Linked DNA regions of Arabidopsis thaliana. The protein of the gene in region 1 purifies or fractionates together with the protein of each later gene. This does not show direct contact. Each region holds a gene or a part of one and is shown on either strand. Other genes may lie near its edges.

Region 1 (3,757 bases):
ACTCAATATCCATCTAACTACGATTTTATAGAAGGAAAATGAAAAAGGGTTTATTTTGTGGCTTTAAATTGGGTGCTTGCTTGGTGGGAAGACAATATTGAACGGGTTTTTTTAACCACAAATATATTATCAGAGTTTATAAAAGATAATTGAAATTGTATTTTAACAATGAACAAAAAAAGGTGGGACGGTGCATTGAAGAAGGAGACGGGAGTTAGATCTGACCAACGGTCCCAACTGTAAATTATAATCACACTCTTACTATACTATTATTCATTCAAATACCATTATTTGTTGACGGATCATGAACATATAGTCAAGATAATTTCTTTAGATAGTCAAGATAAATTCATTAATTACTCTAATTCTTCTGATATGTTTCCAGAGAAAAACCAGATCTAGATCCACTGTTATAATTCGAGGGCAAATGAAATACTAGTAGCTAACAGAAGAATACTGTTTTAGAGTTACGATCTAGAATTCTAGATATATATACAACATTTTTGTTACACCTGATTTGAGATATTACAAAAGTGCTGTGAACCTTAAAACACAGGTAACTCACCACTAGCATCTCAAGTTGGGAAATGAAAGAAAAATCACGATTAACGAAAGAATAAGCAACTTGAAACACACACATATATATGCAACAAACTAAAAACGTATATATGCGCACACCCAAACATAAATGCGCATTCACATCCCAACTTGAATATCAGATCATATAAAGTTGTTGTTTTAAGTAAAAGAAAACTAAATAAAAGGTTGAAAAAAAGAAAAGAAAAAGAGAAGGCATGTGCAGTTTTAGCCAGTTTCACATGCTCACCCAATTATTGTTTTGAGTCGATCTGCTCGGAGAAAAGGAGGGAACATTGGGATATTTTTTGGTTTTCATAAGAAATGTTATCTTTTCTAGTAACGATTAAAGTTGTTTTATACCCAAAAATAACAATAATATGTATGTAATGAGACGTCACAAAAAAAAAAAAAAAAGTAAATGAGAAAATATATTTAGCCAGATCAATTGGCGGAAAACAAGATTTACCTTCGTTATTATATTATGTATAGGATATATACAAATGTATAAGAAGATCATGATAACTTGTAAGAAATGACAATGAATAAGCTTAACTCCAAGGTGAAGATTATATATAAGAGTGTTGGTGTATAATCCAGTTGGATCATTTCATTATCTTCAGATTATGTTTGATTCAAGCCAAGGATGATGTCTTGTTTAAGTTTAAGTTTTAAATTCGGTTTATGAGAGACTACAACTTAATTTTATTTATAATAAGTCTGAATTTGCTAAACCAGGCTAGACAAACCTACTAATGTAGAAGACATTTGTAGCTACTGATTCCCCTAATCTAGTTGAAACTGTATGGTACTAATTTATAGGAATCTTTGTAGTTAGATTTATAAAATAATTGGTGTGACACAAAATTTATTACAAGGGGTTAGTATAAGAAACTTGTAGGGTCGGGGTACGGCACGGCAAAGCACGGACCGTAGGACCATTGAAATGCGATTTCAAATAAAAAGATTTGAAAGCATGTGATCCATCACATGGATATTGATTATTACTGTCTAACAAAATAAACTTGTAGATCGTGTCCAGTTGTTCTTCAAACACATGCGTATAGAAAATGTATAACATTTTGTTATTAATGTTACAAGAAATAAAAGATAATGATCATCCATCATTCATGATGTCATCTTGTTCACACTTGCACAAACCTAATAAGTTATATACAAGACATTTTTCTAGTTTGGTTAGATTAGGTTTCTTTTCCAAAAACCGAACTATCAACTTTTTTTTGTGTCAAAATTTTCAAAAATTAAATAAAATTGACTGTCTAAAAAATCACAAAAGACTATGCAAATTTCTCTTTAGTAATATATCAATTTTGATCCAAATGAAAATGTAGGGGTCGTTATGTAAACAAATGAAAACATGAGGACCCTCCGGGCGTGTATAGTTCACACTTGACAAATAGGGGTTTTGGAGTTAGGCCCTTCCATCCTAATCGCGCTTCCGTCGCCGACGCCATTTTACTCGCCGTCGTCATCTCCGGCCACGCTTGTCATCGTTCGCAATTAATCGAAATCGAAATTTTCCGGTAAGTATCCTCCTTTCTTATTACCGTATCATTCGAGAGTTGGAATCGGATCGGAAATGTAATTGGTTTTGAGGTCAATAGGTTAATACGTTTGTGACAATGGTGGAGTTTCGAGTGTGAATGAAAAAACTCCATTTGCTCGAGAAGATTTGATGAAATGGTTTGTATAGTATTGATTTGATTCTACTTGAATGATTAATGTTTGAATTGCTCTTTGTTGCTTGCAGATTCCTGAAAAAAATGAATTTCTTAAACTCAGCAGCATCCATTTGCAGAAGAGTTAGTTTGAGGGAACTGATCACTGAGGTTCCTGCTTATAGTGGCAGTAGCATTTCCGGTATAGATTTGCGCTTTTCAAAATCTATATTTTGATGATCTTAACTAGTTAACTCATTTGTGTAATTGTTGCTGTTGTTCTTGTTTTGGGGATGTTAAAGATGGTTCTTCAAGTGGCTTGAGTTTGGTCTTCAAGCGTTGGGCTACTAAGAAAACTGCTGGTTCTACAAAGAACGGTCGTGACTCTAATCCCAAGTTTCTCGGTGTTAAGAAATTCGGAGGAGAGGTAAGAAAATAAATAACAAGCGAGATAAGATTTTGATAATCAAATCAGTCTTGGTCTGTGTGAAGAAAATAATGTTTGCCTGTGTGTGTGTGTGATTTTGCAGAGTGTGATACCAGGAAACATCATAGTTCGTCAACGGGGAACTCGGTTTCATCCTGGAGACTATGTGGGGATTGGTAAGGACCATACTCTGTTTGCATTGAAGGAAGGACGAGTCAGGTTCGAGAAAAGCAAGATTACAGGACGCAAATGGATTCATGTTGATCCAACAGGTGGTCATGTTCTTCACCCTATCTACACAAAAGCTGCAGCTGCTCAATCGACTAAGTTGAAGACAGCTTCATAGTCGTGAATACTGATTGCAACAATCTAAACGTGGTTTTCATTTCCTTTAGATCATGTGATCTCTCGAGTAAAAGATGATGCTATCTTAGAGCAGAACCACTCAATTCAATAACATCTGCTGTTTTGTTTCCCTCTAGTCTTTGTCTGGATTTTGATGAAGGGCTTTGTTTGGATTCAACAAATCAAGTTTTATTCGGAAATAGATGTTAATCAAGTCTGAGTTTCTCTCATATGTGTTACGCAAAACAGACAAGTAACAGTCTGAGATAATGTTTTCCCGGCCCGTTATAAACTCATCGAATAATGGGCCAACATTCTAAGCCTCAGGCTCTGGCCCGTCAACGCGGCTAGATCCGTTCATTGAATCAGAAACATATTTATCCTATCGGGTTTAAAATTTCAATTAAAATTTCAAACATAAATTTCTCTCATATTATCATATATGGACGAACCAGCTTTGTTTTTGGCATAATGTGAAATCAAGAGCCAACTTGTTTTAGCCATTAAAGTTTCCTCAAATACTTCTCAAGTTGCCATGCACATCAATATTTAGTTTTTGAATTATTATTTTCTTGTAATTTTACACATTCCTATTCAAAAACAATACAATTAAAATAAAATCATTTCGTTTATAACACAAAAAAAGGAAGAAGAAGATGTCATTGTTTTTTTCTTTATTCACAAATCTTAAGAACAGTCCATATTAATGCATACTAACCACCCATGCGAT
Region 2 (3,563 bases), on another chromosome or scaffold:
GAATCTGCAGTTGGCTTATTCGACGTTGCTTCTCAAGTAAGATCTCTCTTATATTACTTTCTTCTAGTTGGATTTTTGCCAAATTGTAGCTTTATTCTATTATTAAACTCTCTGTGGAGAAAGATCAAACCGTAATCTATGCTTTTGTTCTTCCTCAGTTATGCAGTGCTATTAATAGAAAAGAAGGATCAAGAAGGTCAAGCTCAAGTCCTTTCAGCAGCTTTGCAGGTACGCCTAAATTTGGTTATTTTTAACCACTGTTGCATACATCCAAATCCTATTCATCGTCACCGAGTTGAATCTCATCTGTTTTTATTTTGTCTCTGTCACTTGCACAAATCTCTGAGATCAAAGTAAAATCGGAGAAGACCAATGTACCAAATAGTTTATTATCATTTTTTTGGTGCTAAAAATATTTAACTTATTACTACAGGTAGCAGAAGAAGAAGCTGCAGATGTTGATTCCAAGTTCCGGAGTCTGGTAGCAATTGGCTCACTGGTTAGTTTCCGCAACAACTAGAGTAACGTAATCCACTTGTTGTTAATTACATAATTTAATCGGTGTGTGTTTGTAACAACAGATGCTTGAAGGTCTCGTGAAGAAGATAGCGATAGATTTTGATGTAGAGAGCATCGCAAAATCAGCGAAGGCGTCAAAGGAAGCCAAGATTGCAGAAGTTGGGGCCGATATCGATCTTGTAATTCGTCAGTAACCTTAAAAGAGAGTCTGTGATCGAACCCGGGATTTGAATTTTCAATGATTCCCTCAAGAATTTTCATATGATTCAAAATCACTTTTCCTTGAAATGCAATTCAACTTTTTTGTTTTCAGATTTCTGAATACTAACATATGTTAAAACTTAAAAGATTATGGCTTATGGCTTCCATTTTGAGTAGAATTTTTGATCACCCCACATTAACATTCTACTAAGCGAAACCCTAACGTTCTTCTTCTTCAAATGCCAATGTCTTGGCCTTATCCTCTTCCCCAAGCTAAACGCAAAATACTGCGGAAACTTCTTGAGCTCTTCAAGTTCTCTTTCCATGTCGTAAACGAGAAACTCGAACTTGGGCCTCAAGTTATCTTCAACACTGTATCCGAATATCGCCGGGATTCTCCCACAGACTCTAGCTGCTTCCTCGTGTTCGAAACCTATACTCTTCAAGAATCTCATCTTTGCTCTTAGCTTCTCAACTCTCGTGTTCAGCACGTGCGCGTTCGTCTTGCTGGCTCGGTTCAGATTCCGTACCCCTAGCTCCTTAAGGTAAACAAGCGTCGGTCTCAAGCAATACTCAACGTCGGAGAAGAGGATGTTCGGGCAATTTACGATTAAGCCCCTGGATTCTTCTGCGGAAGCTCCAAGCTCGCCGGTGAGAAAATCGAAGACGGGATCGAGTTTAGAGATGTCGAAAGTGGGCGAGAAGAGCTGTGGACAGAGGAAAACGAGGCGTGGGAAATCTTCGTCGGAGATTCCTTTCGATTTGAGGAGATTCACGGCGGAGAGGATAACGGAAAGATCATTCGCCGGAGGAGCAAGTCGGGGATTCTGAGGAACAATTCCGAGAGAAGAAAGGTGTCTTAGATTTTCACGGTGTGAGGTTTGGAATTTTAGATAGAGAGGCTTAGAGCTTGAAGGAGAAGGAGGAGACGAGAAAGACGAGAGAGGTTGAAGATGATGAAGTGAAGCAATAACAGCCATATCGATGATTCTTCACTTCTTACTTCTCATCCCGGTTCGATTTTATTTATATCTGTTAAATAAACCAGAAATTAGCTTTTGAAGCGGTTTAGTATGAGGCCGGTTCTGTTAACTACTATACTTCATGGACCTTAATATAAATTGGGCTGAGATAACAAAGCCCATCATTATAAAACCCCTAGACCAGAAGAATCTTTTTCTCTTTGCTCTTTAGATTCTCAAAATCCAGAGAGAGCTCGTTAGGAAAAATGAAGGCAGTGATAGGGACAGTGGTGTCGAACAAAATGCAGATGTCGGTGGTGGTAGCCGTCGACAGACTCTTCCACAATAATATCTACAATCGATATGTCAAGCGTACTTCCAAGTTCATGGCTCACGATGAAAAGGACTCCTGTAACATCGGCGATCGAGTATTTTCCCCTTCATTTTTTGAATTTGATATACATTTGATCAAGAGCTCGAAAATTTAGGGAAGCTCTAGGAATATTTGAACTCAACCATTGGAAGTAGACTTGCCTGTTTGTTATTAGGCTGCTTTGGAAATGAAACTTGATTTGGTTGTTTGAAATATTAGGTGAAATTGGATCCTTCAAGGCCTTTGAGCAAGCATAAGCATTGGATTGTTTCAGAAATCATAAAGAAAGCACGCATTTATTCTCCACAAGCTGCTGCTGCGGCTCTCAATTCCTCAACCTCCATTGCTGAGCAGCCCCCTGTTTCGTCTTCCTAAGGTGATTTAGTTATTGCTCTCTAATTTTTTGTATCAGAATATTTTGTTTCAGTGTATTGTCCTTTGATACCTTTAGTGGAACTGCATGAGAATTGAACTTTGCTGTTTGACATTTGAGTTTTGATACTGTTTCTAAAGGTATGAGAGGCTATTGTGTGGCAATATAGCTTGTTAGGCATCTTGATGTTCCATTCTTAAGTTCTTGGAATCCATTTTGTGCTCCCTACATTTTCTGTGTCATACCCACTACGATTTATAGCTAGTTAGGCATCTTGATGTGCATCTACCGTAATCTATTTTTCTTACCTTTTTGGTTGGTTAGGCTTTAAAACTCTGACTGTTCCTCTTGCTGCAGTTTTGCAGTTCTGGCGCAAACTCACCCCAGGGTCGAACAATGTGGGTCGCAGACGTAGCACCATCAGAAACAGAGAATGTGGTAACTTCGAACATAATCCATCAAGCTGTAGTGTAGTGCTTTAGTAGATGATATTGATCAGATTTCGATCTCCTGATTACTTGTATAATTGATGAATCCGAAGTTACAGATTATCTATTGAAAGTTTGATGAATAATTTTCACTCTAGCGAAAAAAAGCTAATTCAAAAAGACCAACAAGTTTACAGAGATTGTGTTGGTCAAAATCTATTCATAAGTGATGTTAAGAAGACCAAACTTACTCATCTAATTGGATATAAGCATTTGGAGAAAGTAAACGCCAATATGTAACAATGCATATAAGAATCCAGCGCCAAAAGTATTCAAATTCTAATGTGTCCTATGAAATGATTCTGGTTTGGATCCAAGTTTTGGAACAAACCAAACCGAATTAGCCTTGCCATGTCAGCATACTCCAATCAAACATTGATTGGTCTCTTGTAATGTTATGTGGGTCCCATCATATCAAGATGCAGTGGCAGACGCAGTAGAACTCTTGCTGAGTCTCAATTGTATCCATAAAGATAATAAAATTTGTATATTTCCTCTTTCCTCTGAGATTCCTTTGTCTGATCGTGAACTTGTAGTAGTGTTTTCGTGATAGAAAATTTTCAAAGTTAATGTGCATACACTAGCTAGTGAAGAAGAAGAAGACTAACTAAGAATGGAAGGAACTTGTTTTCTCCGTGGACAACCTC
Region 3 (3,757 bases), on another chromosome or scaffold:
TAGCAATGGTAGATATCTATTGTGTTATTCTCCAGCAACCATTTCAAAAGCCACGGATCCTTCTCGCTATCTCTATTGGTGATTGGGTAACGCTATTATATATCTAATGCTTACTGAGAAAAAAGAACAGAGTTTTTGACCCGAATTCACCAATTTTTGGTTTCGCAGGTGGTGTCTGTTCTAGCGTTGGCTTCAGCGTCATCGGCAGCTAGTGTTGTTGATATTCTGCGATCAAACGAATCCTCCTGCCCTCCAACAATATGCAACAGATATCAGTTTGCAGCAACATTAGCTTTCTTGACTTGGTTCTTGTCTCTCTCTTCTTCTCTCTTCAATCTCTGGTTACTTCCTTCTCTGATCTAAAACAAAACATAAATAGATAGGTAGCAAACAAAAAATTATCTCCAAAAACTCAAAACCTTGTAACTTTATAGATATCTAACTAACTAAAGAAAAGATTCATAATTTCAGGCGTTAAAGACCAAGGCACTGATGTTGGTGTTGGTACTGATCTTTAGTTTGTCATACTGGTGTCACAACTTGTAGAGCCAAAGATACATTTTCACTCATTGTTCCATACCCAAAATAACGAATGTAATAACAACTCATCACTATCTCACACTTCTGCTTAAAAGGCAATGCACTGATGATTTGCCAAAATAACATAAGAAGACAGAGTATCTTAACATGTGTTATTCATCTACTTTCACCAGATAATCTAGTACCATCATATAACTCATTATCATCTCAGGAAATCAAATATCACAGACATGATCCAAAAGCTTCGATGCAATATGCTCATAGTAACAACTCCTAGCAACTTTCTCGCTTCGCTATGCAACGTTTCTCTTAAAACAACTGCAGTAAGAAGAAAAAGGACGATAAGTCTATCGATTCCATAACGTTCAAGTATCTAATAACAATATGCATAATGTCACACATCAATACTTTAAGACTCACTAAAATCCATAAAATAGGATAATTCTCATCAAGTTCCAAAAATCAGCTGAAACTAGATATCTATGTACGTAAAGGACTAAAGTAATCAATCACCTTAAGAAGTAGATGATGGAGGAATCTGAGACTGAGCAGAAGAGTCAGTAGTGGAGGCTGAGGAAGCAGAAGCAGAAGCAGAAACAGCAGCAGCAGCAGCTTTAGGAGAATAAATTCGAGCTTTTTTGATGATTTCTGCAACAATCCAATGCTTATTCTTGCTCAAAGGCCTTGATGGATCTAACTTCACCTACACATCAACCAGATTTTCAAATTTCTTAGCCTCAGAGGTTCAATCACAAAGCCTAATTCAAGTGGCTCAGATTTAAAAGACGGAATCAAACGAAATTAGAGTGAAAGGGAAGAAGGAAATGCGAGAGAATTTACTCGATCGCCGATGTTGCAGGCGTCTTTGTCGTCGTGAGCCATGAATTTGGAAGTTCGTTTGACGTAGCGATTGTAGATTTTGTTGTGGAAGAGTCTATCGACGGCGACCACTACAGATTTTTGCATCTTGTTCGATACCACTGTGCCTATCACTGGCTTCATATTTTTTTTGCTGATTAACAAAGTTTTACTTCAAAGATATACTGAAATTTGGGCGGACAGGAGAAGATCACCGGAAACTGTGAACAAAATCTTCGCCGGGGAATCTGAGATGGTGGAAGAGAAGAAGAGTGAAATGTTTCGTTCTAGGGTTTCATGTTTTGTAAAGATGGGCTTTTTAAGAATCTCACACAAAGCCCAACTTAACTAATTGTTACTTAACGCGCTCGCTTATTTTTTTATTTTTTTATTTTCTTTTATTTTTTTAGCCCTCGCTTATAAGACCTTCACAAACTTATATTCAACCCCGTAAACCATCAATTAAAATAAAAGCAGTGTGCAAAAAAACATTAAACGGGCGGTAAAAACAATATTACAGTAAAACTAAACTAAATAACATTAAAAATAATACGAATCTTTTTTGTTTTGTATCTTCTTTGTATTTATAGTTGTTGTGATTTTGAGTTTTGTTATTTCTATAACCTAGAATTGAAAGAGAGAATTCTTTTCTTAACATTATTCATTAGTAGAGCATAAAAACATACATCACTCATTTCTCTTATCCACGTTTATAACAAAAACACAACACAAAAGCATAACATAGCTCTATGACACCTACAAGTCATTTTTCTTACATGCTATAGGACAACACTTTTATAAACCTATTCACTCTAGATTCTCCAGGATTTAAGCAAAAGCAAAAAGCACTTAATTCACTACTCCTTTAGATTGTAATTAACTTCCGATTCTTCTGCTTAGTTTCTTGAATCTCTTTACCGTAGCTTTAGTAACAAAACATACATTACTCAACAATAGTCCATATTAATCGAGTAGAAGTCACATAGCTCCACATGACAATTGCGGTAACCGCTATTTTCGTCATTTTCTCTGTTTTACAAGCTATCATTAACATGCCTTTGATAGAGTAGAAGTCACATAGCTCCACATGACAATTGCAGTAACCTTTATAACCTTTCATCCCAAAATCCATTCCACCGACAACAACGGTTTTGCTTTTATTTTTAAACAATTAATCATTATTACTCCATGTAGTCCTAATAAGTAATAGTGAAATGCCTTTTTCACTATTGTTAATTTTTTAAATTTTGATAAATAATATATCAAATCGAAAGCCTCGAGAAGAGGAATTTCTCTATAGCTTTAAAATTTTAAAAATCAAATGTATGTGATCGTGAAAACGCTTACAATATATTAGAAATGCTATATTGCGTAATATTTTTGATTTCACATGATTATTCTGCATTTTTTGAGGTGGAAAGTAAATTTGCAAAAAAATATAACTTTAAGCGTTTTTTGTACAAAATCCATATTTAGAAGATTTGGTTAAGATTTAAAATTAAGATTTTTTTATCAGCTTTGTTTGATTTTTTTTTTACTATTTTGAATCATCATATAATTCATAAAGTTAAGAAAAATCTTATAATTTTTGTGCATTAAAAAGGGACATATATTACCTAATTAATAAAAAGTTTGTGATTAACGTACCATATCGGCTAAAATGTTTAGGCAATGATTCATAGATATTATAATTTTGGTTTCTAGTTAAACTGTTTAATTTTACCGGAAATATTAAATTTAAAATTTTTAACTTTTATTTTGTAAAAATATTATCATTGATATATTTAAAATCAATAAACAGTTTATAATATTATGAACATTCGAATATATAAACAAATAACACGAGATATATTATATTGCCGAGCGGGGTTATATGGCGGAACTTTTGAATCAATATAAATAAAAAAAATTAAATATCATTAAGTCACGGCTTCAATACGGATTAAATACTACTCATTTTATTATTTTTCACACCACCAATATTAGACATATCGAATCATACTAATTTAGATAAGGGTACAAAACAAAAATTGTCTATTGGTATAACAATAACTTAATAACAATTATAAACTTTAAAATATAAATGTCTTATAAATTGATACAATTTGCAAAATTTTATATATAATACATAATCATTAAAATTTGAAAATCTCTACTTTCAAAAAAGCAAATCGTCCCACGAGTTAGTTTAGGAGTCAAGCGGAATTGAATATGAAATATATTTAAGTTTTGGGTTTAAGGGGTCTCAAATAGCAATTGATACTGGAAATGTTACTTAAGGGTTTAGAGTTTAGACTCTCTTTATTGTTGAAAGGTTACTTAAGGGTTTAGAGACTCTTTATTGTTGAAATGTTACTTG

What was found.
Region 2: the proteins of AT5G15220 (region 1) and AT3G18880 fractionate together in Arabidopsis thaliana (co-fractionation; one large-scale study listed by BioGRID). This does not show direct contact.
Region 3: the proteins of AT5G15220 (region 1) and emb1129 fractionate together in Arabidopsis thaliana (co-fractionation; one large-scale study listed by BioGRID). This does not show direct contact.

The regions. Positions count from the first base shown.
Region 1 is NC_003076.8:4,940,737-4,944,493, reverse strand, and holds AT5G15220 (Ribosomal protein L27 family protein), read left to right. Parts: upstream 1-1,709; 5' UTR 1,710-2,120; exon of another isoform or gene 2,121-2,280; intron 2,281-2,347; 5' UTR 2,348-2,360; coding exon 2,361-2,457; intron 2,458-2,557; coding exon 2,558-2,682; intron 2,683-2,785; coding exon 2,786-3,028; 3' UTR 3,029-3,250; downstream 3,251-3,757.
Region 2 is NC_003074.8:6,507,640-6,511,202, forward strand, and holds AT3G18880 (Nucleic acid-binding, OB-fold-like protein), read left to right. Parts: upstream 1-1,860; 5' UTR 1,861-1,948; coding exon 1,949-2,110; intron 2,111-2,274; coding exon 2,275-2,430; 3' UTR 2,431-2,431; exon of another isoform or gene 2,432-2,606; intron 2,607-2,785; 3' UTR 2,786-3,063; downstream 3,064-3,563. Other genes in the region: AT3G18860 (transducin family protein / WD-40 repeat family protein), read left to right, coding at 1-36, 159-228, 434-499, 582-713; AT3G18870 (Mitochondrial transcription termination factor family protein), read right to left, coding at 876-1,700; Tic62 (NAD(P)-binding Rossmann-fold superfamily protein), read left to right, coding at 3,530-3,563.
Region 3 is NC_003070.9:18,280,941-18,284,697, reverse strand, and holds emb1129 (Nucleic acid-binding, OB-fold-like protein), read right to left. Parts: upstream 1,731-3,757; 5' UTR 1,543-1,730; coding exon 1,381-1,542; intron 1,244-1,380; coding exon 1,055-1,243; intron 859-1,054; 3' UTR 496-858; downstream 1-495. Other genes in the region: AT1G49405 (Uncharacterized protein family (UPF0497)), read left to right, coding at 1-86, 169-363.